Linked DNA regions of Alligator mississippiensis. The protein of the gene in region 1 interacts with the protein of each later gene in a pairwise test. Links are inferred from orthologs where the notes say so. Each region holds a gene or a part of one and is shown in the gene's direction. Other genes may lie near its edges. The genes, in order: TRIM63, MYBPC3, USP13 and GMEB1.

What was found.
Region 2: the proteins of TRIM63 (region 1) and MYBPC3 interact in a two-hybrid assay, tested with the Homo sapiens proteins (2 studies listed by BioGRID and IntAct). The link is inferred for Alligator mississippiensis from reciprocal best matches to the Homo sapiens genes TRIM63 and MYBPC3.
Region 3: the proteins of TRIM63 (region 1) and USP13 interact in a two-hybrid assay, tested with the Homo sapiens proteins (2 studies listed by BioGRID and IntAct). The link is inferred for Alligator mississippiensis from reciprocal best matches to the Homo sapiens genes TRIM63 and USP13.
Region 4: the proteins of TRIM63 (region 1) and GMEB1 interact in a two-hybrid assay, tested with the Homo sapiens proteins (2 studies listed by BioGRID and IntAct). The link is inferred for Alligator mississippiensis from reciprocal best matches to the Homo sapiens genes TRIM63 and GMEB1.

The regions. Positions count from the first base shown.
Region 1 is NC_081829.1:3,277,107-3,284,554, forward strand, and holds the start of TRIM63 (E3 ubiquitin-protein ligase TRIM63), read left to right. Parts: upstream 1-4,438; 5' UTR 4,439-7,448. UniProt on the Homo sapiens protein: E3 ubiquitin ligase. Mediates the ubiquitination and subsequent proteasomal degradation of CKM, GMEB1 and HIBADH.
Region 2 is NC_081825.1:228,230,834-228,238,427, reverse strand, and holds the start of MYBPC3 (myosin-binding protein C, cardiac-type), read left to right. Parts: upstream 1-4,588; 5' UTR 4,589-4,661; coding exon 4,662-4,686; intron 4,687-7,594. UniProt on the Homo sapiens protein: Thick filament-associated protein located in the crossbridge region of vertebrate striated muscle a bands. In vitro it binds MHC, F-actin and native thin filaments, and modifies the activity of actin-activated myosin ATPase.
Region 3 is NC_081830.1:80,510,031-80,516,892, forward strand, and holds the start of USP13 (ubiquitin carboxyl-terminal hydrolase 13), read left to right. Parts: upstream 1-3,842; 5' UTR 3,843-3,930; coding exon 3,931-4,086; intron 4,087-6,862. UniProt on the Homo sapiens protein: Deubiquitinase that mediates deubiquitination of target proteins such as BECN1, MITF, SKP2 and USP10 and is involved in various processes such as autophagy, endoplasmic reticulum-associated degradation (ERAD), cell cycle progression or DNA damage response.
Region 4 is NC_081829.1:10,106,598-10,113,967, reverse strand, and holds the start of GMEB1 (glucocorticoid modulatory element-binding protein 1), read left to right. Parts: upstream 1-4,357; 5' UTR 4,358-4,446; intron 4,447-4,709; exon of another isoform or gene 4,710-7,037; intron 7,038-7,370. Other genes in the region: discoidin, CUB and LCCL domain-containing protein 1-like, read right to left, coding at 641-719. UniProt on the Homo sapiens protein: Trans-acting factor that binds to glucocorticoid modulatory elements (GME) present in the TAT (tyrosine aminotransferase) promoter and increases sensitivity to low concentrations of glucocorticoids. Also binds to the transferrin receptor promoter.

The DNA.
Region 1 (7,448 bases):
GCAGACATGTCCTGGTCTAGATCTAGGCTGGTTCTTGCTCTGCCTGAGCTGGGCATCACATCTCCCTAGTCTGAGATCCTGTCCCAGCCCAGGCCGGAAGGGAGGAAGAAAGCAGCTTGGCCAAGAAACAGCCCTTTCTGACGGCTGAGCCTGGGCCCTCTCTTCCTCCGGACAGGGGGCACGGCTGCAGGTCCGGTCCCCTCTCCAGGACGCAGTCTGGAAGGCCGCGTGGGTGGCGATCTGCATTCCCTGGATGGAGCTACCCCCACGCTCTTAGGAGAAAGCAGGACGGTCCGGCTGAGACAGCGAGTCTCTTGTACCGCAGGTTTATGTGCTAAACCCCGAGGAACCGCTGTCGGGCAGCGTCCGTGCTTGGTGGGGCTGAGAGAAGAGGAGAGCATGTGCTGTAGTGGGGGCATCTTCAATCCCGCGCTAAACTGTGCTCTGCACAGCTTTCTGTACGCCATCCTGCCGCAGGGGGTGAACGAAACCGGAAGAACACCAGACCAGCGAGCCCAAGGCCCGGTCTCCGACAGTGGCAGATAACAGATGCTTTAAAAGAAGAGTTTATGAACCAGGGTAGAATGATTCACCCCGTCCTACCCTCCCAGCCCCAGAAGTGTACTGGCTCTCTGGCCCTTGGGCTTCATAGCCCCTGACAGATCCATCCTCCAGCGTCAGTCTGAGCTCAGTTCTGACCTGGCTGGTGATACCGTTGGCTTCCCCCAGATCTTGCGGCAACGCTTCCCCCAGCTTCTTCATGCCTTGTGTAAGAAAGTGCTTCCCAGCGTTTGTTTTAAACCTGCTGCCTGGTTCGCTGTGGGTTGTATGCTTGATAATGGAGGCCACCGTATGGTGGCGAGTTACCTAAGAAACCATTTAAAAGTTTAAGTGGATACTATAATTAGCGTTTAACCAATTGTAATGGATTGCTCGCGAGTAGTTCAGCTATAACCCTTTCTACTGATGAGCTTAATGCCAGTCTGTAATGCATACAATCCGTAGTGCTAGCACACTTCTAACATCTAGTACACCTTTATAAACTATACGCTTATCCTTACTATCAAGACAACACACTGCAAATGCTTCAGATATTTGACCAACAGGTGTTAAGTGAAGAACGTGCATAAATCTTTACAGGACTGGAGCTATCCACTGTTCCTTGTTACCGTAGTAAATAGAAGTAGATGATAAGTGATGATCTTCCCATAAGATTGAATTATAAATGGATGATGTCTCTTTAGCCGGGTCAAATTCCTTGAGTGAAGTTGCAGTGACATCTAGCGGCTAATTGAGCCCTTAATGGGGTCCCTAAATTACCCAAAAGATCTGGCTGCTGTTGGGGGGGGGGGAACAGCTCAATCAGTTCAGTTTCATGCTTGGTCCCTGGGAGTTATGCAGTAGTTCTGGATACGGGAATTAGCCAAGGGCCTGCCACGTATCGAGGCAGTCTCAGGGGAGGCGGCTTCTACTTGCTTTGACTTCAAATAGACCCATCTTTTTTGTAAAGACATTTTTTAGTGTTCCAAGCCAAATCAGCCAAATCAATTCCAAATCCGTGAGTCAGTCAAGGACCATAAGTGGCCCTACTACCGGCAAACATCTTCCACCCCACCAGGGGCTGCAGATGTTTCCAAATCCTTTGGTGGGTATCCTACGCGTAGGCCCACGCCCGGAGGCTTGGGGTTCAGATGCCCTCGAGTTTCGCTTGCCCTCAACCGTACAGCCGCAGGAACAAGCTAGGGAGGAGTCTTCCATTTCCATAAAGTGGGCATTCAAATAGACCATGGGTGACTGGTGCCGCCTTAGTCTGGAGGGGCATGTGCCCCCCCTGCAACCAGTCTTGATGCCTGGGGGAGGGTCCCCTGCAGTCAATCGCAGCTACTTCCAGGGGTGGCCGTGGCCGCTTCTAGGAGCGGCTGCAGCAATCAGCCAGCACTTGTAGAGGGGGCACCGGCATTCCTGCCTGCCCCCCACCCATCACCTAAGTGGCAAGCGTGACCGATCAGGGGGTGCACTGGCATTCTCAGGGGGCTCGCATGCACCCCCGTGCACATCACCATTGAAATAAACCCATCTCTTTTGTCATTTGTGTAAGCGTGGTAGGAAAACTCAGGCTGGGAAGAACATAACAGACCACAGCCCAAGCAGCAAGCCCCCACCGCCCATCAGGTGACTGAGCTGAAAATCCCAAGCCTTGCTCAGGATGGGTCCATGGGACAAGCAGATGGGCTGAGCAGAAAAGCAGGCCCTGATTCTGTCCTCTTCACTTCGACAGAACGGGGATGAGAGCAGTCTTTATCCTGCAGGGCTTTGGCTTAAAATATACTTATTGCAGGGCATTAGCATCATCATTACTACACCATAATTTGCATGTATGTGCAAGCACGTGCTTGGGATCTGCCGACGCCTTCCCAGCTTTTTGGCTCCTGGGTCATTGGTTTATTTAGCTGCTGGGGTGGGCTGTGATTAAGCCACAGCTTTTCTTTTCAGGCTGGCATAGGGAGATGTGCCAGGCCCGCGAGTCCTCAGTTAAGGGCATGGGGCTGAGAATAGTCACAGCAGCTATCCTCTGGCCGGGGGTAAATAATCTGGGATTGGGGCACTAGAGGTCGTGTTGTGGTGTCTGGGCTACAGCACAGATTGGCAAGCGCTTCTGGAGGCAGGACAGAGACAGACCGTCTCTGGGGTCCTGCCAGAAATCAGGCCCAGTGGGAGCGCTCTATTCGGTGCAGAGCTTCAGTCTAGCAGGGATGATGCCTGGCACTGCCAGGCTGGCCTGAAACCTGTCACTGAGACCGTAACGAATATTTTGGTCTGTGCAAGGGACAGCACCAGCGTCTCTGGACACAGACCCTCTGTTGGCTGATGGAGCGGATCCAGGTGGGCACTGGCAGTACCAGTGCAGGGCTTCTTCGCTGTGTGCTGCACAAACCCTTCTGTCTTGATAGCAGACCTGGGAGAGGATTCATGGCCCATTCACTCCTATCCTGGGTCTGACTCCAGTGACATGGATACCTGTTACTTGGGAAATGCAATGAGCCCTGCATGGACCCATGAACCAGGACTGACAGCTGCTCTGAGCTGGGCTGCATTTGATCTTGCAACGGAGGTGAAGGCTTCCCTGGCCAATCTCTGGAGCCATGTGAAACTCTGGAAGAAAAACAGATCTTGCAGGTGATTTTCCCAGTGACTGCATCAAGTGAGAATCCATGGGGTGAGGCCTTCCACCACATCCAGCCGTCTGCCCTGCTTTACACAGATACCCACGTGGTTTAATAAGGGGAAACCTTCACCCTGGATAATTAATTTAAAGTGTCTGTTTGCTCAATCCTTTTTTCCCCCCATGGATCCAAATCAAATGCAGCCAGCCAGCATGAGTCTAGCCTCAGGCCTCTCTTCTGAACCAGTTCAGCTGCAAGAAGAGTGGCTCAATACAGGAATTACTCAGGCCTGTGTTAGGTGGAAGTTCATATTAGATGCTCACAGTGGTCTGTGCCTTGTAACCTTACAGTGTCTGGCTCCCTGAGAGGCAGGGGCTCTGGATCTGTACCTACACTGTGGGTGGGACCTGGCATCCCAAAGAAAGCTAAAAGCATGGGCTTGAAATCTAGCTGTAGACCCGAGCCTTTGGCTTTAGGTCATTATGAAAAGCACTCCAATGCACTTTGAGTTGGAGGTGGGGAGCCCAGCTTTATACCTCTGCAAGCAATTCCAGACCCACAGCAAGAAAATGAGCTTGACTGATTTATGCTGTAGCAGGGCCAGGGAGACGGAGGTGATGAGCTCCTCCCCGAATTGCTCCCCCTCCTGTTACAGGTAGGGGACAGGTGGATACAGACTGGCCCTTGAGGTCCAAGTTCTCTCTGTACGCTTCCTGCAGTAAAAAAACCAGAGCCCCAAGGTTCAGGACTTTGATCCTGTGCTTGGTCGGCTCCCTGGCTGTTCGTTTCTAGCTCCCCGCTTTTTCCCCAGGTGGGTTCAGACTGTCCTTCGCTGTGCTCAGGTTCTGAATTGGCGCTGGCAGGGCGGCAGCGCCTTACAGTGGCCAGCAGGGACGCCCTGCTACACAGTCCGTGCTGCCAGCTGTTTGAAAATTGATATGAAATGATTTGCTTTGGCACAAGCTAATAAAAGGGGAAAGCAGTGGGAGGGGAGGAGAAACACCGTGGATCTCTGCTCCCATTCTGGAAGCCTGGGCAGTCGGAGATTCATTCAACTCCCTTGGCTCCCCTGTTGAGCCAGTGCCTCTGATAAAGGCCCAGGAGCTTGATAGGAAAAGCTCCAGTGCTCCCATCCTCCGGCTAATACATGGATCCTTGGATTCTGCTTTCCAGCCTGCGGTTTCTCTCTCTTCCCCGCTGCGAGCGGGTTCGTGCAGAGGTGGAGCTGTGTGAAACTGGATCGGGGATGGGTCTGGTGTGTGGGCTGCAGGCGATGAGCGGTGCTAGCATTATTTAATGCAGATTTGCTTGGATAAAAAGCCCAGGGTGGCAGGGCTGAGTCGTCAGAGATTCGTTCTGAACCTATTCAGCCATTTAGTTCATTTTAGGTTTCCTCTCCTTGATGGAAGGTTGTTATTAATTTCAGGCTGGATTAATCAACTCCCTTCAGATCTCACCCAGATTAATTGATCGTCTGTCCAGCACTGATTAGCACATCCTATAGACTTGACTAATCTAGCCAGAGCTAATTAGTGACACAACTAGTCTCTTCCAGGCAGCCAGCCTGAAGCTGATTAGTATTGCCCAAGCCAGAGCAGCCCATCCAGCCTTCTTAATCAGTTTTATCCACAATTAGTTAACCAATTTCACACTAGACTAGTCCTTCAGACTCGCTCCATTTCCAAGGCAGCTACTGCATATTACCTTCATTTACTTGGGTCTAAACTGCCTGATCTAGAACTAATGAGTTTAGCTACCAGCAGGATTCACTGATTAGGATTCAGCTGTGTCAGATGGGTCACTTCAGGTTGCAGCAGGTAGGTGTTGTGATGAGATGCTTTTAAGGGAGGAAAGAATAGCATTCTCATGCAGAAAACACGAGATCTAGGTATTTCCCCTGCATTCATGTTATTCCTTAATATGAGTTTCCTTAACTCCTTCTCTGTTTGTTGCTTCATGGAGCTGGATCAGGAGGTTTCGTGAGTATAAGCAGCAGCTCAGAGGCCTGGCAGGAAGAGCTGACCTGGGCAGTTTCTCTGGGCTGGGCACTGGGCTTTAATGCCCTCCATATAGAGCTGCTGATGAGTCAGGAGTGACAGACAGCGGCTGATGGCTGGGAAGTGCAAATTCTCTCAGGCAAAGCCTGCAGTGTGAGGAGGGGTGGGAGCCTGCCAGCCAGTGCCTATAAGTCCTCAGAGGTAGGTCAGGCAGCGAAGCTTCTTGAAGGAGATGGGCCCTCTGCTTTGCGTGCGAAGGGAGAGCCCTGCATGCAGCCTTGCGTTGCAATGCACAGTGCCCCCCACGGCACCCTCAGCAAGCCCCTGGCTGGAAAGGGAGCAGGTGGTGGCTGAAGTGCAGTGGTGTAGGGGTGCAGGGCAGGGCTGGATGGGCACTGGGGAGGATGGACTGGTGGACAAAGGGCCTTGACCTTCATGTGCAGCAGACACAGGCTGCTTGAGTCCCCCAGCTGTGCCCTGTGCTCCTGGCAGCAGCCCACATGCTGAGGGCCCCTGAGTTGCATTTCAGTTTCCAGCACTTCAGCGTGGCCTGATCCTGCAGCAAAACCTCTCCGAGGTGGCACCTCTCCCAAGCATGGTGTCCATGCCTCTCACTGCCACTGGATTGCCAGGGCGGGCTTGGATCCTGGCTGCCTGTCGAAATAGTGGAGCAGCTGGGGGAACTGGCCTCTGCTTCAGCTCGGTGCGATGTTGGTCAGACTACTTCATGGTTTTATGCTGGGCTGTCCAAGCACTTGGAGATGCCCAGGTAGTAGGTGCTGCAGAAGGGGGAAGCACCAGCCTTAATGGCAGCCACTTCAGCATGGAAATGCATTCTGCTAACATGTTTGATGCTCGTGCTCACCATGTGGCTTCACCCTTTTCCCTGACATCCTCATGCTAGGCTGCTTTGGCAAGCTTCGCCTGGCCTACAGCTGGCTCCCCAGCTCCTCAGGGGCTGATACCAAATCCAGAAACTGCTTCATGCATGGCTGAGATTTCAGCCTTTCCCCAAAGCTTTCCCTTCCAAGCAGCTATCATCTAGGTCAGTGCTTCCCAACCTCTCTAGGCCCCAGCCCACCCTACTTGGAAAATGCTAGCTCTTGGCTTTCGCTCCATTTTTGACTACAGCAAAATACTAGAGCAATTCTGTTGCAAAGATCTCCGATCGCAATGGGGCAGGGTGATTGTGACCCTCTGGAGAGCCCTGGGGCTGTCGTGTGAACCCCGTGTAGGTGACTGCACACCCAACAGTGCTTATCATGTCGAGCCCTGGGGCACCCTCAAAAGGATCTCGGGGGTACCCGGGTTGAGAATCGCTGGTTTAGGAGCAGCCTGAAGGTGAGACCCTGACACAGGCCCCCAAAGAAGAAGGGACTGTACTGCAACACGTTTGCTGGGCTGGTGTTTTTTGAAGGGGAGGCAGAGAAGACATAAACCACAGGTCCCGACTCACACTTTGAAATGTGAGCGGTTGCCAGCCTAGAAACAGCTCTAAATAACAGCTGTGCCGTGCCTAGCTGGCCACAGAGACCTGTTACTTAACTCTCCTGCAATAAAAGACAACAAACAACAGGCCGTGTCCTGGCTCTGGGACCCACGCGGCCCCAATGCACATGATGAAGCTGGCAGGGCTCTCCGATCCCAGGAGATCACAAGGATCAGGGGATCAAGTGTGGCCTTGTTCCTGGAAGCAATGGAGCAAGGAACAGCACCAAATGCTTCTGGGCTTTTAGACTGCAGGACTTGACACGATCGGGGACTGAAGTGGAGGAAGTTCGGGGTCAGGGTGGCTTCTTCCTTTTTCCCCATCCTCCTCCCTGGCTCTGCCGCTGACCAGCTGAACCATTGCTCCGCTCCTCAGCAGAGCCGTCCATGAAGCAGGCAGTGAATAGTCCTTGCCTGGTCATGCTGCAGTGGTCCCTGGCACTTCCCCAGTCACAGAACTGCTGCGTCCTGGGGCTAGGAGCAAAACTTCTTGCCCCAGATAGCTTCGATCAGCAAGAAATAGTTCATCTGCAGGGAGTTATACTCGCTGCTGCAGGAGCCGAGTGCATTCAGGCCTGCAGTGCTGAGGGCAGCATGGATGCCTTTTGTGCCTGGAAAGCAGCTTTCCAGCAAGCCAGGAGGAGCATCTATGCAAGGGGCAGCTCAGACCTCTGCTGCAGAGGGTATGGCCTGTATGAGCAGAGATGCTGACAGCTGCTGGCGCTCACCTGGAGAGCCTTGGATGCAGGGATCTAGTCTGCCCAGGCCCTTCTGAAAGTGCCCCACCTGCCTCTCTGGG
Region 2 (7,594 bases), on another chromosome or scaffold:
GGCTGGGGCAGGGGCTGGGGCAGGGGCTGTGCTGGGCTCTTCCTGGCAAAGGCTGGGCCAGGCTGCACTGCTCTCAGGGAGCGTTGGGAGCAGGGCTATGTGGAGGGGACAGGGACTGCATCCACGCCAAAATTTGCCATAGTCCTGCCAACACTCCCTCTCAGTACTGCCACCGCCTGCCTGGAGTGCAGTGCAGTTTAACCCAGCCCTTGCCAGGAAGAGCCCGGCACAACCTCTGGACTCAGCCCACAGTGGCAGCCTGCCTCACCCTGCCCTGCGCAGATCTATGGTCCTGCATGCCCTCCTGGGGGGGTGCAGTGGCGGAAGCTGCCCCCCATCCCCCCTGCAACCCCCGGAGGAGCTGCTCATGGCTCCGTCCCATTCCCTACCCTGCCTGAGCAGCACCTGCCCCAGTCCCACTCCCTCCCGCACCCCAAGGGCCTCAATCTGCCCCCCTCCATGCCCCTTCCCTCCCCCCACCCCTTCCTCCACCCCAGGCTTACCAGCCAGATGCTGGTCTCCAAGCTGCTGGGCTGCGCTTCTGACCCCATGAATGCCGCAGCTGTGCACGTGCATGGGGCATTTATCAGCCACTTTATCGGCTGCATCAGGCAAAAAAAGCCAATTTCCGATGCTTTCAATTTTCCCTATATTGGTCCTGATCTGATATAGGACCAATGTATTGGTACACCTCTAGCTCCAGATATTTCTCTTTTTCAATAACCATTCCTCATTTTATCTGGTTTATCATTTTCAGTTGTTGTGAATAGTTTATCCTCTTGTGTAGAGAATCCTTTAATAGGCTTGGACAGTGCAATGTTATTGTTTGGCTCTCGTGCTCAGAGCTTTATTGAATCCATTCCATTCACTTCATTAAGCCCTAATTCAGTAAGTAGTTAAGTGGATATCTAACTTAAAACAGACTTCATTGTGACTACTCATATGCTTAAAATTAGGCATCTACTTAATTTAAATATTTTGCTATATAGAAACTTCACAGGTTGTTTTTCCACATTGTGTCCCAGATTTAGAATTAAGCTTGACAGTGAAAAGTATCAATTGATCCCATCACCATTGTCAAATACAGTCACAAGAATGACTGACCTGATACGTGGAAATAATTGCATTCCACATTTGGAAAGGAATATGTTCCTTGGCATATTTCTTTCTTCAAGCCAGGGGAAAAACTTGCTGATACCAATTAATATTTTCCCTGCTATTACACTGCTGGCTACCAGGTGGCAGCATTGCAGTGATAATAATTATACATTTTTTCTAGAATGTTGTATATTGCCTTACGTTTATTTATAATTATAAAGTGCCTTTAATACCAAAAGTGGTTTGTGAATTAACTGTATTATAAGGATTGTTTCACTTGTCATGCAAATAGAGACATTTCTAGCCTGGTTTTCAATAGCTATTAATACGGAACAGCAGTGCTAGAAAATTTATACGCGTACATTTTTGTGCAGGGACCCACCGGAGATCCAGTGGGTCAGAGCAGATTCAATTAATTGAGTCTGCTCTGCATGCAAGCTGACACGCACTGTGCTGTGGTGTGTGCATTTGTGTAAGTGGTGAAATGTGCATCCATGCACAGAAAATGATGGTGGTTCACTTTTGAACCAAAGCACCTCCGATGCGTCTTAGTGCAAAAGCGCACCACCACCATTTTCTCAGCGTTGATGGGCATGCACCGTTAACGGGTTATACAACTGCATGCACCACAGCGTTGTGTACTTTTCAAAGCATGCGCCACTGAGGCTTATGCATGTGTATAAATACCCTATAGGAAGAAACCAATGAAGGAAGAATCCTGCTGTTCACATGAAAGTAAAGCAAGGATTTAGGGAGGCAAAATGTAATTAATCTAATCAGAAATCTTCCAGAGCAATGAATAAAAGGGAATGGCAAGTCCCCTCTTTTCACTCACAGGATTCCTAAATCAGTTTAGATTAGTAGACCATGTTTATGCCAGATACTTTACAACAAAATTATATTAAAATTTTTGCAATAACAGTTTGTGTGATGTCTTGTCCTAACACTAAACAGTACTTGACTTTTGCTCTGAAACCTTAGGATTTATTATTTATAGAAAGAGTTGGTAGTAACCTGCATTGGTAGCATTGCCAATCGAAAACTTGAGAACAATTCTTGTTTTCAGTGGGCATGTCTACAGGAGACATTTACTCTAGTTGCCTCTGCAGTAAACATCTCACATCTACACATGCAGTGTAGAGGAAACTAATTAACTTCACAATTATTCCACAATTCCTGACGTAGACTTTTTTTTACTCTGCAGCACTACACATGGAGATGGGGATGGAGCTGGCTGAGGCACAAGGGTGCTTCAGTGCAGGGGCTGCCTACCAGCTAGCCCCACACTGGAGCACCCTCATGCCCCAGCCAGCCCCTCTGCAGTGCATTGCGCTGGGTCAGAGCAGTCCCAGGCTGGCAGGCTGATCCCCAGGACCCCCTGCCAGTCAAGGCTACTCTGACCTGGCTGAACATGCTGTGCTTCTGGGTACACATGTAAATGGCATGCCCAGGAGCAATAAACCCTGCTGCAATAAGTGCCAGAGTTTATTGCTCCGCATTAATTACATGTGTAGATGCGCCCAGTTGCTTGTAGCTTTGCCAAAATGTAATCATTTAGGCAGAATTCTTACATGCCAACTATCTTCCTCAGGCTACTTTTTTTTTTTAGGATGGTGGGGGGGCGGGGGGGCAGTGCAGGGGAAGGGAAGGGAAGGGAAGAAGGGGTCAAAACTTAGCTACAGCAGTTCAGCCACTTCCAAGAAAAGACTAAGGAAACGTATATTGTTCTTTCCAGGTTAAAATTGTGTGGCCATCTTACAGTGCCCCCATATTTTGCATTTGACAAGGATGCAGCCTTTTGTGTGTGACTGAGTCCCTAAATCAATCATCTCACATGCAAATCAACCCAAATTTGTCATTTGGGAACAGAGTCCTCTGCCCCAGGTCCAAAACTGAGAGACCAGGTCTGGCATGGGGGCAGGGCTGGGATGAGGCAGTGGGCCAGGATATGTAGGGGGAGAAGCCCCCACTGCAGGGAGCCCCCAGGCTGTGTAAATCCCAGCTGGTGGGGGGCAGGGGCAGAGGGCTCCATCCTCCCCGCCTGCCCCCCTCTGGGGCTGCCATGGCAACCAGTGCTGGGAGCCTAGGGTTGGGTGCACCAGAGGGTCTGTGGTGACAGCAGGGGGTTGGGGGCATGTATCTGACAGCCAATCAGGGATGGCCCCACTTAGCTGGGCTAGGCTGCCCTTGGCAATGTCCTGTACGCTAGGAGGCATGAGGAAGTGCCCCCACCTTCTGGCCTGGCCAGTGCAAGCACTTGGTCCCCTTTTGCACAGAGGAAGCTGAAGGTGGAAGTCTGTTCCTCTGGGTCAAAGAGAGTGCCTTTGGGAGTTGCTCTTTGATGTGTAGATAAGGCAGGATTCCTTCCCTGGTGGTGTCAGATGGCAGAAGGGCTGAGAGGTGTAGAATCTTTCTTGTTGTTCAGCAATGAAGTTTAAATCCAAAATCGGCTAAAATTTGTCTCAGACCAACATGGCTACTAAATACACCCACTTAACACTACTTGTCATCAGTATTCTATCTACATGGTGGACCAAGAAGGCAACAGACTAACCAGAGCTTCCTCTCAGAAGTCTACAGCAGAAGTCCTTTGAAAATTGAGGCCTATGCAAGTGGGAACAATCAAAATAATAACAAAAAATCATTTTTTGCCATTTCAATTTTTATTATTTCTATTCTATAATGTGCTGGATCCTGTGCACAAACAGGTTCTGCTCCAAAAAGCCCACAAGTAAAATGAGAAAAGTAGACAACAAGGCCAGGAAAACCATAAAAGCAAAGTCATCAAAGTTATTTTGCATGGTCGTTACTTTTACTTGTGCCAAAAAAACACATAAACAAACAGCAATGCTTGGAGCACGAAGTGCAGTCCCAAGCTTTCTGGGGAGGATTCCCAAGAACTTCTATACAGTGTTCAGCAAAATGTGATCTCGAGTATATGTCTTGCTCGCTCATGCTACGTTTTTATATGAGACTTGGGGGGAAATAAGATTTTCATCTCCAAAGATACTTATATAGCAGAAACTATTTAAAAAGTAGGCTTGAGAGGAAAGTCAAAACTTTAAAACAGGGTGGAGTAACTGGTTTCCCCTTGAAAGTCCAGAATCAGATCTAGTGACCCAGCATTTCACACCTGAGAATAATCAACCATTAAACTCTGGCTTGAAGGATGGTTCAGGACTGACACAACTACTGACAAGAGCTAAATGTAGGAAAGGATCATTTTAAAAAAACTACACAATAATTACAAAAATGGCCTAAAGACTAGAATACATGTATGTATGTGCAGCATCAGTCTTGGGTTTGGAGTTTGCACCAGCAACCAGTCCTGGGTGGTTTGAGCTCTCTGGTTCCTGGAACTTGGCTATATTTATCCTGGCTGAAACATGCTGTCAAGTGTGCCCTGCTCTTGATAAGGTGCAATTGATGACAAGAGTGAGGGGTCAAGGGGGAGGAGCAGGATTTCTTTAGTGGGGTCTCAAAAGTCTTTCAGTCTCATTCCAGTTTAGCACGCATCTTGGTTTCTAGGCACTACTGGGAGCTTCAAGAGACAAAAGTTCAAGATGCCAGAGCCTTCGAAGAAAGCAGGTAAGGACCACAACTAAGAGGCAAAAAGAGGTGGAGCACAGTCTGACTGAAAGAGTGATTTCCAAGCAGAGACGATCTCCTTGTACTACAGAAGTGAGACAGCTTAGCTCCATTGTAATTGAAAAAACAAATAACAGATATTTTTAGCCAGCGACAAAGTATTTGGGGGAAAATAATAAGGAGAAAGTACCTTGTAAAGTTAATCTAAAAAAAAGAGCTAGATTCTACCCCAGGAAAATGAGTAATTATTGTCTCTGAAAACCTATGGTACAGAATTCATTCCAGAGGCTTTGAGTAAAGGGAAAGAACAAAAATTAAATTATTTTGTTCTCAAAATCTTATCACCGCTCAGTTTCTCTACTAGGCAACTTCGCCAGTAAAAATGTGCATTCTCTCTCCCGGGAATTTTCTGGGGAGTAGAAGTAACTCCCAGTCCTTTTTCTGGGTATTTTCCAGTAAAATTTTTGGGTGCGAAATTTCCACTGTGAAGAGAAGCTTCAAAGCATCTGATTAATATTTACTGTCTCTCAGAGACTCAGTTGTGTAATTCTGGCAAGTAAGTACACCCCAGCTCTGAAGAAATAGAGGGTATGCTGTAGATTTTATACATACTCCCTTCTTGACCTCCTCTACCTCTGAACCTGCAGATAACTAGTCATCTACAAAAACCAAGGTCAAAACAGACTCTACCACAATTAAGGAGGGAGTTCAACCTCCCCCTCCCCTCCCCCCCAGAGTGAAACATGTGGAAGGGAACTGAGATGAGATTTAGGACATTCCTGAGAACCAAGCAGTTAGTCACAGGCCACCTGTCTATGCATGGAGGAAGAGAGTGATAGGTGGTATGGGAAGGAGGTGGAAATTGCAGGGAATCTGTCTGTGCAAGGAAGAGGAGACCCATAAAAGATAGAGGTAAGTGAAGGTTGCTGTCTATGAGAGGGGAGAGAAAGAGGGATATTTGAAAACTCTGAGTTCATAATTAAATTTAGAAAAATAGGTATTAAAAGTTAAAGTTGTATCTGTTTGCAAATTGTGTACTGGGAACATGCAGCAGAAAATAGTACTAAGGCTGAGAGTGCACCTTGACTTTTAGAGCTAGTCTCATCTCAGCGACATTGGTATAAATCCAGTGTTCCTGACCCTTGAGTATGGTCCCTTGATGCGCTCCACAGGTGTGTTTGTGCTGGAGTGTGCATGTTAGATACTGTTTAAAAACAAGCACTTCACAGGGGGTCAGTAGCATGTGACTGGTGTTTCTCAGATGCTGTATGCCTTGGTACCCTTTAATAAAGCCCTGAATTGGCATACATCTGCTGTTATAATAGCTAGGGAGGATTTTTTTCCATCATGCCCACAGTTGCCAAATTGCTTACCTTTATTAAGAAGGTGAAAGGAAGGATGGCCCATTGTTAGAGGTCCTAGCCTGAAACCTGAGGGACCCTGATTCCATTCCCTGCCCTGCCTTGCCACTGACATCCTATGTGAACTTAAGCAAGGCCCCTGGTCGTCTTCTTCATGGAGGAAGTATGCTTCTTGTGGGTTCCACCAGATTCCTTGTGATCTGACATTCCTCTAACATGGTTGACACTGAATAATGGATACTGAATGATTTAAGAAGGGCTTTCACTTTTGGTTGGAATACTTGGTATTAGCTACTGCAGAAGGCAGGATATGACTCAAACCTAGGTTTGCTCTACAGAACTGCAAAACACTTAACTACTGGATTACTTAAATGAGATTTTCTAAGTTCCTCTTTCACTATGTCTCTGAAAGGAAAGCACTGTTGCCAACTCTTGCAATTTTATCATGTTGTAAAGTATTTGGTGTTTTTCTTGAAAGTCAAATGACTGGAGTCAGGTGACCATGAAATTCTGGCTCTCTTTTACAAAATAAGCACATTTCCAGCCCTCAGGGCTGAAGAGACAAGCTTAAAAATATAAATCCTAAAGTCTCAAGAAAACCAAAAGATAAAAATACTCCCCAATTTTATTATTTTAAAAATCTTATGATTTTTAGGCAATGTCAAATCTTTTTGATACCTGCCTTATGCTTTCCAAATGCTTAGAATAGGCAATAATGAGAAAGAGAAACATGATGACAAGCAATACTTGCCATAGTCTCCTCTCCGAGGTTGCATAGCTTCAGAATTATCAGACTTCATCATGCCTTTGGCTGAGCAAATCCATTTCTGAATTTTAAAGTACTTTTCACCATAATCACTAAATCCTGTATATGGATTAATGTTCTGAGGTAGGAGACACTTGACCCTCTGTCTTGCTGTAAGGCTACCCAGCTCTGCCACTTAATGTGGAAGAAGAACACACACATTATTTCCAATCTTATTTGACTCTCTGAGCTATTTCATGGCTGTAACTCTGTGTGGCTCTTATCTCTGGCCAGTGGTTCTAAACCTTTTTAGACTCAAGGCACACCCTGTTAGATTCAAGGCACCCCTCAGAAAATGCTGCCTAATATCTACTGGCATTAACTTATTTTTTGACTATGGAAAAAAAATAGAGCAATTCTTCTGTTGGAAAGAATTCTAAAAGAACACAGCAGGTCAAAATATTTTTGACACCATAGTTTTATTTGAAATCTTGGGTTTATCTTGTGAATCATATAGGCATTTGTACATCTAACAGTGACACCCTGCAGCACCCTGGTTGAGAATCATTGGCTTAGACAGAGACGGTACAAAAACTGTGATTAATCCCAGGGCAGAAGGGGGATGGGAGGGGAGGGGAAGGGGAAAAGGAAAGGTCCAATGCCTAATTCATTTATAGAAAACCTAATCCAAATCTGTCAGATAATTCCTGAAAAGAATCCCTGCAGTCTCAAGAAATAATAGTGCTGCCAGTTCTCCATTTCATTGTGTTTCAATACTTCAGGGCATTTTGATACAGAATAA
Region 3 (6,862 bases), on another chromosome or scaffold:
AATCTCATTGACTTTATTGAGGGTTATGGTCCTAAATCATTTTGGGTGCTTTTGAAGAATCCCGCCCCGATGGTTTTTACTCTTACGCTGGGTTTTGAAGCAACACATGCTGAAGGACCCAAATGGGCAAATATTAAAACTAAGGGTATTCCCTATGATGGATAGGTTATTCAGCTTTTATTAATGCAAAAAGGAAGATGCTAGTAGCATATGAAAAGGGAGAAGCTTCCAACTTCTACTGAACTGTCTGTGGACTAAGGAGAGAAAAGTAGGAAGCTAGTTGATGGAGGTTTCCATAAAAGCTTTAACGATGGCTGAAGAACAAGCGGCAAGGTCCAGGGAACTGTACTGATACACAACAGTTAATAGTTCAAACTCGGGCCCAGTGGACTTGACATTGATCCACTCTTACTAAGGGAAGCGGTGTGCCCAAATTTGAACACAGCTGAAAATGAGACCTAGGAATCCCTTGTTCTATTAACAAGAATTGTGCAAGATAATGAGCTACCTATGCAGCATCTCGTATTTTAAAAACCTAATTGATAATTCAAATGTGCAACACTGTTGGATGCTTGATTAGGCAAGCTTCTAAATTAATTTTTTAAACATCTGTTTTAAAAAAAGCATTCAGGAATATTTCTGATTGTTCCCCATGTGCTAAATTAGCCCAAACAAGAGCATAATACATGCAGTGTTGTTTTACTCTACATACCCAAAAAACAGCAAGTCAAATCTGGGTATTTATGGATTAAAATATTCAGCATATTGGATCCCTGAAGAACATAACTAATTATTTTAATTAAAAATGTAAACATTTACGAAGCAATAAAAGCTTTATACTTTTCGTCTAGTTTGCCTAAAAGTAATTGGGGAACACTTTGTGGCATGTAAAAGCAGACTGTAATCCAAAATTACATTTAGGTCTTATTCAAGCAACCATCTAATGAGAAAATTCAATAAGTGAATATAGATTATGCCTTAACTAAAGGTTAAATAAGTTCATATCTAAAACTGAAGCATGGAGTTTCCTGTTACAATGCTGATAATAAGGGTGGGTGTTGTGCGATTAGTTTGTTTCTTTTCTTTTTTTACCGAACATCAAAGGGCAGATTTGAGTGATGTTAAAGAGGGAAATGTTCTTCAGCAAAGATAATTTTAAATAGGTCAGAATTTGTAAGAGCTGGGCATAAGGACAATTCTTTTTTTGTGCTCAGATGGCAGGGTGATAAAAATTATTATAGATAATCCAATAATGTCTCAGATATGCTAGCGGCTGTATTGTGTGTCAACCTTTCTGTGTTAGTGCCCAGTGCAATGATGGATGGTCATCACTCCATCCTTCTGATGTGACACCCTAGGGCAACAATCGCTGTTTTAAATTGTAAAAATATACTCTGGCACCGTAAGGGCACACGTGCTTGCACCATCTTACATTTTCAGAATTGTACAGAGGCGCAGATGCACTGCACAAGTTTAAATGACTGTAAAGTGTACTTACTGTTAAGCGGCTTTTTTTTTTTTTAGCCTGGCAGGCATTATTCTTCCCGCTAGGGGGTAGCATTTCCTCAGGGTCTGATCGCTACACATTGAATCTAGATTACTGACCGGTGGGTTTCTGATCCTTTTTTACCAACAGAAGTAGAAGTGACCCTCTTTCATTCCCTTTTCATGATAATAACCTTCTTTCTTCCATGCTTCATAGACTATTTCAAATAAGTACAACCTCGTTTGTTTTTTCTGTTGCAGCCAAATGCTGTAAAGCCCACTAAAACCAACGGGGTCTTTAGAGCAAGCTCTTTGTGATCTGCCAGTTATCTTCCTGCAGGTTAAGTGGCTTCTGTTCATATCATTCCATTATGCTGTGTTATTAGCAAGAGAGGAGTTATGTGCTCATGAGCCTTTCCAGTTTGAAAGAAATCCCTCTATCGGAACCCTCGACTCTTTCTCCAATACCTAACAGATCCTTTGCTACCAGGACAGATGCTGCTCTCGGGTAAGTCCTGAGCAGTGGTCTCCACTGGCTCACAGAGAAGATGTTACTTGCACCCATAGGAAGTTGAAAAGTTTAAAGTTAACAGCAGGAGCAACATGCAACATGCTGCTTGCTCAGTGTTGTTGCCAATGAGCAAGCAAGGTAGGGGATCACTGGTCCAGAGTAATTCTACTGAGTTTATACAATGCCCTCAGGATTTAACACACAATTTCCAATGCTACAAGGGCTAACTTTCTTAAAAGGCTATAAATTAAGCATTTCACCCTAAGCGCTGCTTCCACACGAAGCATTTCACAGTTCTGTTTCTTCATCCCTTGATGTAAACACTTTGCTTGCACTTTAAGGGCCTCAGTGTAAACTGTATGTAACAGCAGCAGGAGTCACGTAATGGTCTATCCATCGTGTATCTTTGTAGACCAGAGCAGAAAGAAGTGACTCGTGTCAAATTGTAAAAATCCCTGAAATAATTAGATACATTTTTCAGATTTTTTTTTCAATTTGTCACTAGTCACTTCTTTCCACTCCTGTTATTATCTTCAGAGTCCCCCTATCCTTTAGCCCATCAACATCCCTTCCAACATGAGAAGAACATAAATGAACCAGAGAAAAGGAAATATGGTTTTGGACTAGACCACTACCCTGTGACTCAGGAAGTCTGGGTTCATACCCTAGCAGTGCCGCAGGCTTCCTGCATGTCCTCTGTCGGGTCATCCAACACCTGCCGCAGTTTGACCATGATATAGCTTGGAGTCTATTCAACAAATAGATTATAATAATACCTTAGACCAGTGGTTCTCGGTTTTTTTCGACTCAAAGCACTCCTCAGAAAACAGTAACTCTTATTTTTCTCTCAAATTTTTTCCTACAGAAACCCCCCCCCAGCAATTCTCCTGTTGCAAATAACTCGTAAAGGCCACAACAAGTAGGAATGTTTTTAACACTCCAGATTCCTAGTTGAAATCTCTGGCTTTATCTCGTGAAACGTGGTTTTCACACCTAACAGCACTAACATTGCGTGGCAGCCCCGGAGCACCCTTGAAAGGGTCTTGGGGCACCCCAGGGTGCCATGGCATCCTGCGTGAGAACCACTGCCTTAGGAAATCTCTGCAGTTGAGCACAGTCCCGAGACAACGAGTTGGTTGTAAAACAGTGTCCAAGATCCAGGAGGGGTGCGGGGGGGGGAGAAATCTTTATTCTGGGTCTTGTGATTTGGCCGAAATTCCCCCAGGCGAGATCTGATGCGGCGGCGCGCGCTGCGAAGCCCTCTAAAGCCGAGAAGGGGTCTCATCACGATCCGCCTGCGATCCTGCGGGTTCAACGGCCTCCGCTCAGATCATTTCAGCGGTACATGGATCATTTCAATACGCGGACGCGGAGGGTGCATGGATCTGGCTGCAGGGAAAGTTCATTTTAGGACGCGGGCGGCGCAGCTAAGAACAGCTTTCGGAGCCTGGCCACAAGAGCATTTCCACCTCTTTTGAGTCGGTGTGCTAAAAGGGATCGCCTTGACCCTGGTCTGCCCTTTTCCCCTGGCCCGGGCAGAGGTGGGATTGTCCCCTAGTTTTGGGGGGAGACAACGGCACCCCAGGAGCCACCCAGGCCAGAGATGCCTCTCCCCCGGGGCAAAGGGGAGCAAGCCCTCTCCCCCTTCCTGCCCGAGCCCGCAGGAGCTGCGGCCTAGAGCCGGGCGCGGGGCTGGACACAGGCGGGCGGTGCTCGGCGCTGCAGCGGGCGGGGCACGGAATCGGGTGTCACTCCGGCTTGGCCCGGCGGGCACCTCCCCGCCCCCGGCCCGGCAGCTGGTGCGGCTCCTGCTGCCATTGGATTAAAAATAGCAGCCGCCCTCGCGGCCCCCCTTCCCCCGCCCGGCCCGGCTCGGCTCGGCTCGGCGCGGCGCGGCGCGGGCTGCGGGCGCGGGCGCGGGGCCGGGCGGGAGCATGCAGCGCGCCGCGCTCCTGGGCGGCGGGCGGGATGCGCAGATGGCGGCGGCGGACCTGGGCGAGATGCTGGTGCCCTACATGCCCACGATCCGCGTGCCCAAGGCCGGCGACCGCGTCTACAAGGCGGAGTGCGCCTTCTCCTACGACTCGCCCGTGAGTGCGACCCCCCTCCCTTCGCCGCAGGGCAAGCCAGGGCTCCTCCGCTCCTAGGGGCATTGCAAAGGGCAAGTGGGGGGATCCCCCGCTCGCTGCCCCCCCTTCACAGCTGGCACTAGGCCTTGGGTTTCCCAGGCTGGGGGTTGGTTTGATTTTGCAGGCTCCGGGCGGCGGTGGACTAGTGCCCCCCGGTTCTTCTCTCCTCCTTGTCCTCCCCGAGCAAGCGAAGCCACCGAGCGGGCGCCGGTGTGGCGGTTTTTGGAGGGGGCTCGGGGCAGTTTGCCAGGGGCCCTCGGCTCTGCGCGTCGCTGCTGGGTTTTTGCGTTCCTGCAGAGCTGGCGACGGGCAGCGAGCGTCCCCATTCATGTATTTTGTGTCAGCGGGATGCTCCGTAGTGTGGCCTTCGGTGTAAATGTCCGGTCACTTAAAAAACCCCCGGCCCTACCTGAGATTTACCTCTTCCGTTTTGTACAGGGGCATCGCTATAACCCGCAGGAGAGTCGCATTTTTTATCCCTTTTTTGTGTAGTTGGCTGTCAGGTCTCTGCTTGGTGTGTGCGGCCTCCGATGCTATCACATGTTCGTTGGGCCCTGATATTGCAATTGGATCCATGTAGAGACTTGCGCCCATGTAAAACAACATACTTCTTTGGGTTCGGTTGCAGGATCTGGGGTCTTGGCTATTCTCTTCATTGCTTATAAACATCAACAGTGAGGCATCAAATCCTTCCACTTAGATGATAGGTAAGGGAAGTGAAAGGCTGTTTTAAATCCACTGAAGTTGAATGTGCTTCTAATATAGTTTTCCATAAGTAAGGTGAGTACTGTGCATTGACATCAAGTTAAAGTGTCATTTCATAGACATTAGGGCTGGAAGGGACTTCGGAAGATCATCGAGTCCAGCCCCCTGCCCAATATGCCAGAGAGAAATCAAAAAGAAGCACAACATCTGTAATCCTGAGTTTTCAGATGTTTGCGCGATTCTGATTTTTAACTCAATTCGTATTTTTTTTTTTTGCTTTGATATTTCACTTTAATTTGGGGAATCCAAATGGGTTTCAGAGGTGACTCAGCTGTCTGGTGTTCATCATGTCTTGTTGAGGACAGGTTATTTTTACCCATACACTTGAGATCTCAAGTGTCACCAGCAGCCCTCTCTGCTTTGGGATGTCGAAAAAGGCCAGATCAGATGCTACAACAAAGAAATGAATTATTACATATTTAATGGGAGTGGAGGGAACAGAAATCAATGTGATGCAGTGTTCCCTTGCTACTTTTCTGTTTGATCTAGCATGTAATTAATGGATCTAGTAACCTGTCAAGACCTCCGAGACATTGTGGTAAAAAGTTTGTGTTAACTGACAGGCAAAGCTGCTAAATTACGAATGAAATGGAAAAAAAGAGATCAGGTGACTGAATATTAACAGAAAAACATATGTAAGTGGAATATAGAGGTATAGTTTCCGAGTGCCCAAGTCCTCTTGCGTTCAGTGGGAGCCACTAGGCCAATGCTTAGACCAATCTTACATTGTGCCATGATAAGACTCCTTCTTCATACAAGTTTGTAAATACAGAGTGGCCAAATGCTGAAGTTGCTTGTACCCATGCAGCTGCAGTGAGAGCCCAATTGGGCTTAGTATCTGTTGTCCAGTGCCAGTCCTCAGTGCCTTTGGGCAGAAGATTTATTCCAGTGTCCTCTCTTGTATTGGAGGGTTGGGTGATTAGGACAGTGCTCACTGGTATTATTTCTAAACCTAGCTCTGACTCTAGTCATCAAACCTGTTTGAGCTAACGCACCCCGTAAAGCCATGTACACATTTGAAAACGACAACACTTCATTGCTTTCTCCACAATGTAAATGTGTGAGCTAAGTGTACACGTGTGTCATAGTTAATGGAAGATGTTTCCCGCACCATACTTCATATTAAATTGGTTTGGTAACGTGTTCTTGCAGGTTGGCACACATGAACGACTGTGTATTGGGTTTTGCCTGGGCCAGTGGTTCTCAGCCCTTTTAAATTCAGGGCGCCCCTTCAGAAGGTTTCTGAATTTAGTGGCACCACCGTTAAAAGCCACCGTTGTGCTGCCTCAGTTTACCTTGGTGGTTCTCATTGGGGTGCTGCTGCTGCCAGCTGAAGGCTCCCCTTATGTGGAGCATAACCCCTGGCTGGGAAGCAGCAGTAACAGGACCTCAGCGCTTCTGCCTACCCTAGGTTTATCTGATAAGCTTATCTGAGTTGAGCGGAGACAGTGCAACAATAGCGTTTCTCAACCAGGATGCTGCTCAGTTTATCCTAGGTTCAGCTAATAAGCCTGATGCGGACAGGAGGGCCTGCTCCTGCCATCGCCACTCCTCGGTCCAGCTCTGCTTTCTGCATGAGGTGTGTGGCACCGTTGAAAGGATCTTGCGATACCCCGGGGAGCTGCAGCATTGGGCTAGATGTCTATTCTGTCTTTGGAAGAGGAAGGTAGATTTGATTCTGGAGCATTAAAACAAATGAGAACCCTTACCAAAATACCCTCTTGGGTTTCTTATCTGGTGGTTTGCTGGTTGCATTTTCAACCTGGGAAGTAACTATTTCCCCCCATAATTTACAACCTTACATAATATTTCCTTATACCCTCTTGTCCTCCTTGTTTGACACCTAGTACTGCATTTGTCACTATAACACAAGTCCCTGCAGATTTGTTTAAAACCAGCTGCTTTGCCAGTGTTTTATTCTGGCCCTTGAATGGCAAATTTTATTTTTATAGTAGATCTCATTAACACCATA
Region 4 (7,370 bases), about 6.8 Mb from region 1:
AAGATAAACTGCTCTGTGCTGTACACAGCTGTAAGAACCGAGAGAGTCACAGGATCCAGTCCTGTGTGTCCTTGTCTAGCTTGTAATTCATAAACATGCTACCACCAAGCCTCTGGCAAAAGCAGCATCCGAAACAATCGAGTTAGACTTGAGGATACTTGTCTAATAAAAGGTATAATTTCTGAACCAAGAGTTTTGCACACAATGTATGGGAAGTCACCCCTTTGTATCCTAGCCTGGGCACATTACTGCGCACATCGCACGCTCCACCAGGAACGGACAAAACTCCTGGTGGAGGCAGGAGGAGCGCTTTTGAGAAACAGCTCCATCAAGCCACCTCGCCCTCCGTGTTCATCTCTAATGACACGGTCACACGCGCGCAGGTCTCCGAAGCAAGTGCTGCTACCCCACCCCAGGCATTTGTCTCGGCTCCCTGACTTCTCTAGGGCAAAGCACCCTTGGGTTGCCAAAAGGCCTCGCGCGAGCCATGGCACGAGAAACGCCGCTGGGAGAAGGCGGCCGCCCAGGACAGCACAGCATAGCCGGCTCCTCCGCACCCACCTGCGCCCCTGCCCGGGACAGCTCCCCTTGGCCCGCCCGCCCCCGGGGAGACCGACTCGGGACCAGGGCTGGGACTTACCTGCCTGCCCCCTGGCCAGGGGCCCCAACAGCTGGAACAGCTGCAGCAGCAGCAGAGGCGCCCGCAGCCGGGAGCGCATCGCCGCCGCCCCGGGAGGCTCCGGCCCCGCAGCTCTGCAGCCCCGGGCGCCGCGGCCAGGCTGGGAACCGCGCTGCCGTCCCACCCCCGTCCCCGCCTATCGGCGGGAGGCGCCGACCCTTCCCCCGCCACTGGCCCCGGGACCTGCCAGTCACCGGGCGGAGAGGCTGCCCCGCGTGCGGGGCCGGGGCAGGTGCGGGCGAGGGGCAGCGCTGGAAGAGGACCTGGGGCTGCGGTTTCAACTAGAAGCCTCCCACACCGACACCGCCTCCTAGGGCATCCCCAAGGGCTGAGGATGGCAGGGATGCCACCCAAGGGATGGAGGAAAGGGGCATCAGGAGCTACTGAGCGCGGGGGAGAGGGGCAGGCATCTGAATCAGAATCTTTTTTTTTTTGGTAATGAACATTGTTCACGTTCCAAGTCAAGTTAGCCAAATCCATTCCAAATCCGTGACTCAGTCGAGAACCGTGAGTGGCCCTACTACCCGCAGACATCCTCCACCCCCCCTGGGGCTTCAGATGTTTCCAAGTCCTTTGGCGGGCATCCTACGTGCAGGCCCAGGCCGGGAGGCTTGGGGGCTCCCGAGTTTTGCTTGAGCTTAGCCATAAGGTGCCAGGAGCAAGCCAGGGAGGTGTCTCCCATTTCCATCAAGTTGGCATAAAGCTAAGGTTAACTATACACCACTACCCCCATGCCAGCAGAGCAGTTTTCCCTGGGTGTGCTTACAGAAAACCACCTTGGTGGTCACGGTGTTTTCCCTGCCAAGTAAGAACTTCCCTAGACCGTCAGTGCTGGAGGCTGCAAGTGAGAGAGGAGCAGTGGGGAAAAGCCAGACCCAGTTGGCTCTCCCTTTCAGCCGCTGCTGTCTGCCCCTATGTGGCACAGGAGACTGGGCAAAGCAGACTGGATCTGATGCAGTCAGTGGTAACTGTTCTGTTATGCTCTCTTGCCCAACCACCTTTGGGAAGGCACCGGGATCCAAGTCCAAATTTTGCAACCGAAGCCTATGCCTCCACCAAGAAAGCAATGGTGCCTTTCCATCCCAGTACACACCTCATCGAGACGTCTGCAGCCTGCAAAGAGCATTGGCAACACACAGATACAGTGCTTTAGTGAAAGAGGGATAAAAGACACACTGTGGAAGTCTGAGGGGGCCAGGGCCTGAAGCATGTGATTGGGAACTGGGAAGCTCTGGCCACATCCACACAAGCAGCAGATTGTGTGGATGCATAAGCAAGTACTACATCTACTGTGCAGTGACAGGCATTACTGCACAGTACCATCGCCACATTGCTTTTTTTCAGATGCTACTGCACAGTAGCAATGAGCTTGTAACTACTGCACAACATCATCGCCACACAGTTAGTGCCTGCCAACACTACTGCATGGTAGCTCATTGCTACCATGCAGTAGCGTCTCGTGCAGATGTACTGAGTCCTAATCCTGATTCTAGCACTGCCTTCTATTGTGTGGCACTGCTTTTGCATGGCCCTGCTATTGGGAACTCAGTGTGAGACATCTGAAACCCGAATTTTAAAGCTTCTGAGCATACACAAGCCTTTGAAAGTAAATGGAAGCAGTGAGGGCACCACATTGCTGAAAGTCAAGGTACCCAAAAATTGGAACTACTCAAAATTTGTGACCAAATAACTTGCCTGAAATGGCCCACAAGAGTCTGCAGCACAGCTAGATACACAGCCTAGCTTTTTGTCAGATGGGAGTAGGGAAGGGTTCAGTGGCACACGGGCCTAGCTCATTCTTGAAGGATCATAGTGATGACTGCCCCTTGCAGATTGTCTGTGCAAAAGAAGAGATTCCCTACTGATTTGTGTCCCCTTCACATAAAAAAGCTTGAGTCAGGGTTTATTTGCTTATTCCAGTAACACTTCAGCTATCAAAGGAATCCTAGGTCCTCTTTCTAGAGCCACCTCTGATCAGTTATGGGTAAAGTTCACATTGCCCTCATATACCCAAGGCAGGTATGCAGGGCCAGCACGGATACATGGATTGCACTAGTCAGGGTGGTGGCTCTCTGCCTGTGCATCTGCCTGCATTCTGTCCCCTGTGCGCCTCCAATGCACGGTGTAAGTGTGGCACCGATCCTCTGCACCAGCACCAATTTCTTCTACTGTTTCTCATGCTAATATCTCTTTCTCTCTTCCGTGATAGAAGCAGAGTAAAATTTAAACCAGAAAAAATGTCCAGAATCTGGCACCTTTTTAAAAAAGATCAAAAACTGGGAAATCAAAATTTCACCCTCCCCTGCTCCCACCCCCTCGTATTCAGTATTTAGTGCTTCACATCTATTGAAACAGCAGCTCCCAGGTTCACTAGCTATCGGCTGCAAAATTCTCTACTTGGATAGATTTTGTTTGTATTAATATATTTTGTGTTCCAGGTCAAATCAGCCAGAATCAGTTCCAAGTCATATCAACTGAGCAGAACTCAACTCTGCTTGGACAGAGGCTTGGCCTGGCACCAGGATCATCACACCAACAGGCCTAGCCCTTGGCGCCATCGTGTGCTCACGGGCAGTACAACAACATGGATCTATATTTTCAGGAAAAGCCTTGACTGGTTTCTGGGGTGTAGGTTGTAGCCGTGTTAGTCTAAGGACAGAAGCAGACAAAGTTCTTTGGGTAAATCCTGTATCTTGTATTAGACCAACTAAAAAAGTTGGAAACATTCATTTTAGCAAGCTTTCAGGCACAAACACCCTCCGTCAGGCTGAGGAAGCGTCTGCAGATGGTCTGCTCTCTTCCTGGATGGAGGGGCAAAGCAGCCAGAGGCCAGTCCATGTGCACTGGTTTCTGCCACTTTCCGCAGCCCTGGGACCAAATGTGTTGCCTGACTTTTAATCCACGTAACCCAGCTGCCAAAATGAAGCGAGGCAGCACAAAAGAAAAGGAGAAAGCCTTTTTTATAAGGGCAGGAACTGGTCTCACTGTCCAAACGGCGAGAGGAGCGGTTAGGCGTGTTAGTTTGCACCAAGCCAGGGCAGGGCGGCATCGTCCAGACTATTCAGGTCCCTTCCATCCCTAACTTCATAGGAGTCTATGTAAGGTATAAGCTTTTGTAGACGCGGGCCTACTTCATCAGATGCCAGGAACGTCCCCGTTGTGCATGCCCTGGGGCTACCGCCACCCATCCCGGAGGCAGTAGCCGCCTTGCTGGAGGGCAAACCGGGCGACCGCCCAGGGCCCCACACTTTAGGGGGCTCCAAAATTTTGCAATATTTTTTTTATTTTTGGGAGGGGCGGAGGGAGTTACTAAAAACGTTGTTCTTTCTTCAACTTGTGAATAAGTTTCCTGCACAGGGCAAAGTAAAATTGAAATAAAAAATGGTGTGAGGCAGGGGATCCATGGTATGAAACGCGCATCTTGCTCCAGTTGAGCAGCAATCAAACGCTTTCCTGCTGTGCCTGGGGCCTAGCACATGCCATCCAGCTGCGGAGGGAAGCCAAAACCCGGGGGACCGCAGCGGCAGAGCGCAGCAAGGGGTGGCACAGCAGGCGGGAGGAGAGCCCCACGGTGGGGTGCAGACCCTCGTGCCACCCCGGCCGCTAGATGGCAGCACTGAGCACCCAGCCCGGGCGGGCAGGAGCCCCTGCTCCGCGGCCCCTTTAAGGCAGGCGGCGGCCGGAAGTGCTGGCGGGAGAGCTGTCGCGGCTGCTGCGCATGCTCACTCTTCCCCTCCCCCAGCCCCGGACTCGGGCGTTCGGAGACGGTAAGAGACGGAGGCTGCCGCGCTACGGGAGCCGGGAGGGGCCAGGCCCGGACGCGGAGCTTGCGGGGGGGGTGGTCCGGCCGCAGGGGGAGGGGGCGCCCCAGAGCGCGTCGCCGCGTACGTGCCGCCGCCGGGAGAGCGGACGTCGCGCCGCTGCGGGGGGGGAAGAGGAGGAGGAGGAGGGGGGGGGCTGAGTCGACTGCGTCCGCCCGCCCGCCTAGCGCGAGGGGGAGGGGCGGGAGCAGGGAGGCCACGCCTCTCCCTCCGGGGAGCCCCTCCCATTGGCTGCTGCGCGCCGCGGGGGGGCGGCGTCCCCCATTCCCTCGGCGCCCCGCCCCCAATGCCTGCTGGGGGTGCCATGAGGGGCAGCGGGGCCTTGCCGAAGCCCGCAGGTCACCAGCCTGGGCACGGGCTGGGTGCAGGAGCCGGGCAGAGCACAGAGGTGCTGGGCTGGGGGGCGCCCAGACCACAGAGGAGAAGCAAAGGGTTGCTAACACCAGGGGAACGAGCCACCGACTCCCTCGGCACGGGGATGAGTGTAGGAGCACGTCCGTCAGGTGTGGGATGGAGGAAGGGTCCAGCCCCCTGTCGCCCCCACCGCAGGGAGTCCAAGGGATGCCGTCCCCAGCGGAGTTAGGGGAAGGCGAACGTGGCGGGTTTGCGCGTGGAGAGGTGCAGGTGCACGAGGCGTTTTCACTTCTGCGCAGCGAGGCGGGAGAGCAGCTCGTGAGACGATGGGAGCGGGTTCTGCTGAGTTTCGTCAGCCGGCCCGAAAAGCTTCCGAACGTGGCGATCGGGAGAGTACGGACTCGGACGTGCCGTAGGTGAACCGAGCCGTCGCATCCCCCTGGGACCGAATCTGCGTGTGTTGCGGTCACATAAAAATCCCTGTCTTCGGATGATGCTGATCCTCAGGCTCTTACGGTGCTGAGCAGGGATTGCAGGTGTACTTCTGCCAGTTGCCAAAGCAAGTGAATTCGGATGCATTGGGAAACCTTACCCAAGATGTGTCCTCAAAAGGATGGCTCTTCCTGGTTGTGTCTGATCCTAGGGCAGGGGTGGCCAGTCTGCAGCTCCAGAGCCACCTGCGGCTCTTCAGAAGTTAGTATGTGTCTCCTCGAATCTTTGCACAGGCGTGCGGTGACCAGCTCCCAGAGCCGTCACGTCACGTCACGTCGTGCGCTTATGCAAAGATTTAAGGAGCCGCCTGTGGCTCCGGAGCCGCAGGTTGGCCACCCCTGTCCTAGAGACTTTGATAAACCATAAAGCTGGAATTCCCTCATACAAGATCTTTCAGGCTTCATCTCCCCTAGATACATATAAGACCAACCGAGACAACAAAAAGCTTGACAGCAAAAGAGGACCAACCTGGGGCTGATTAAATTTTTTTTTTAATTTGTATCCAAGGCCAAATTACCCAAAAACTAATTCCAAATCCAAGAGTCCAGAACCATAAGTGGCCCTACTACCAGCAAACATCCTCCACCCACAACTGGGGCTTCAGATGTTTCCAAAACCTTTGGCAGGCATCCTACTTGCAGGCCCAAGCCCAGAGGCTTGCGGTTCAGATGTCCCCAAGTTTTGCTTGCCCTCAGCCATAAGGCCCTCACAGCTGGGGCTGATTAGATACTGATGCATTTTTGAGCAGGTCTGTGTTGAGCATCTTGACGGGCCCCACCATGGTGGGCCACTAGTTGGTGGCCACCTGCAGATTTGTAGTCGGGTTATATTGATCCAAAGACACTGTATCAATTTGAAATGACTAATCTGGTTTTTTGAAGCAGGGGTGTATGTTTTTTCAGTTGTGCATTACATTTGGGCCTAAATGGATTTGGCTTAGTCTTGGCTTACTCTCTCCTAGCAAGAAATGCCGCAGCTGGAGATCTGTCACGGAAAAAACCCTGCCTCCAGCAATCCATTAATGTCAGCATGGGTCTCTCCAGCTGCATCGTTCCTGGGGAGAGTTAATGATGTAGAGGCCTTTGTGGAAGCTGTTCCATGTGTCAGTGCTTGCAAAGGAGAAGACTCTTAGGTCATGCATGATAAGACTGTAGAAGACCAGGGGGAAAGCCAACCAGACTGGGACAAATTTGTGGAAGATTGAATTAAAGCCTGGACCACGATATACACATGATGTAATTTGTTTTCCTCTCTCCATAATTGTTCAAGGCAAGGACAATGAAACAAAATCAGTTCGTTTGCTAATCAAATTATGTTTATATTTTTCTGTGTGAGCCCTGGAGAAAATTCCAGTCAAGCGCAGCCAATACCAAAGGTGTTTTCAGCAAAACACTTTCCTTTATCAGTTTTTTCTATGAAGGCCTATGCTACTACTTACATGCAGCAGAAATGGTCTGGGCCAAGTATTTTACTGATAGGAAAAGACAATATCATCAGAATACCTGTTAGGAATCTTGCAACTAGGGGAAAATAAAGTGACGTCATCTTAAAACCCACTCTCTCTGCACTCCTGCATCTGTCGCCAAAACTCAACCTGTGTACACTAACTCTGACCTAGCTGGCAAGTTTTTTGCAATGATTGGTCCAGAAACCAGACACTACAGGCAGTTTCATTTTGTGTTTCATCTGCGGTATGTATGGTTCAGTGTGTTTTACTGTATCTTTGTGATTCCAGATTAAACATTCCCAAAACTTGATTGGTAAGATGGAAGTTGTTCTCTGCAGTCTGCTTATTTCCTTCAGCAAAAGCCCAATATCCCTACTCTTCCTGTGGTAACTAGTTCTTCCCTTCATTCACCTTCAGATTGAGACTGTGCCTCTCAGCTTGTGCTAGTCTAGTCACATGTTAATAGCTTCGGGATGATTGGCAATAAACCCAGAAATTGTTGCTCTTTCATTCTGGCACCTGAGATGGTACAAACAGCAAGTTTGGAGGTTTTAGTTCTTTTCTGGTGCTGTCTCAG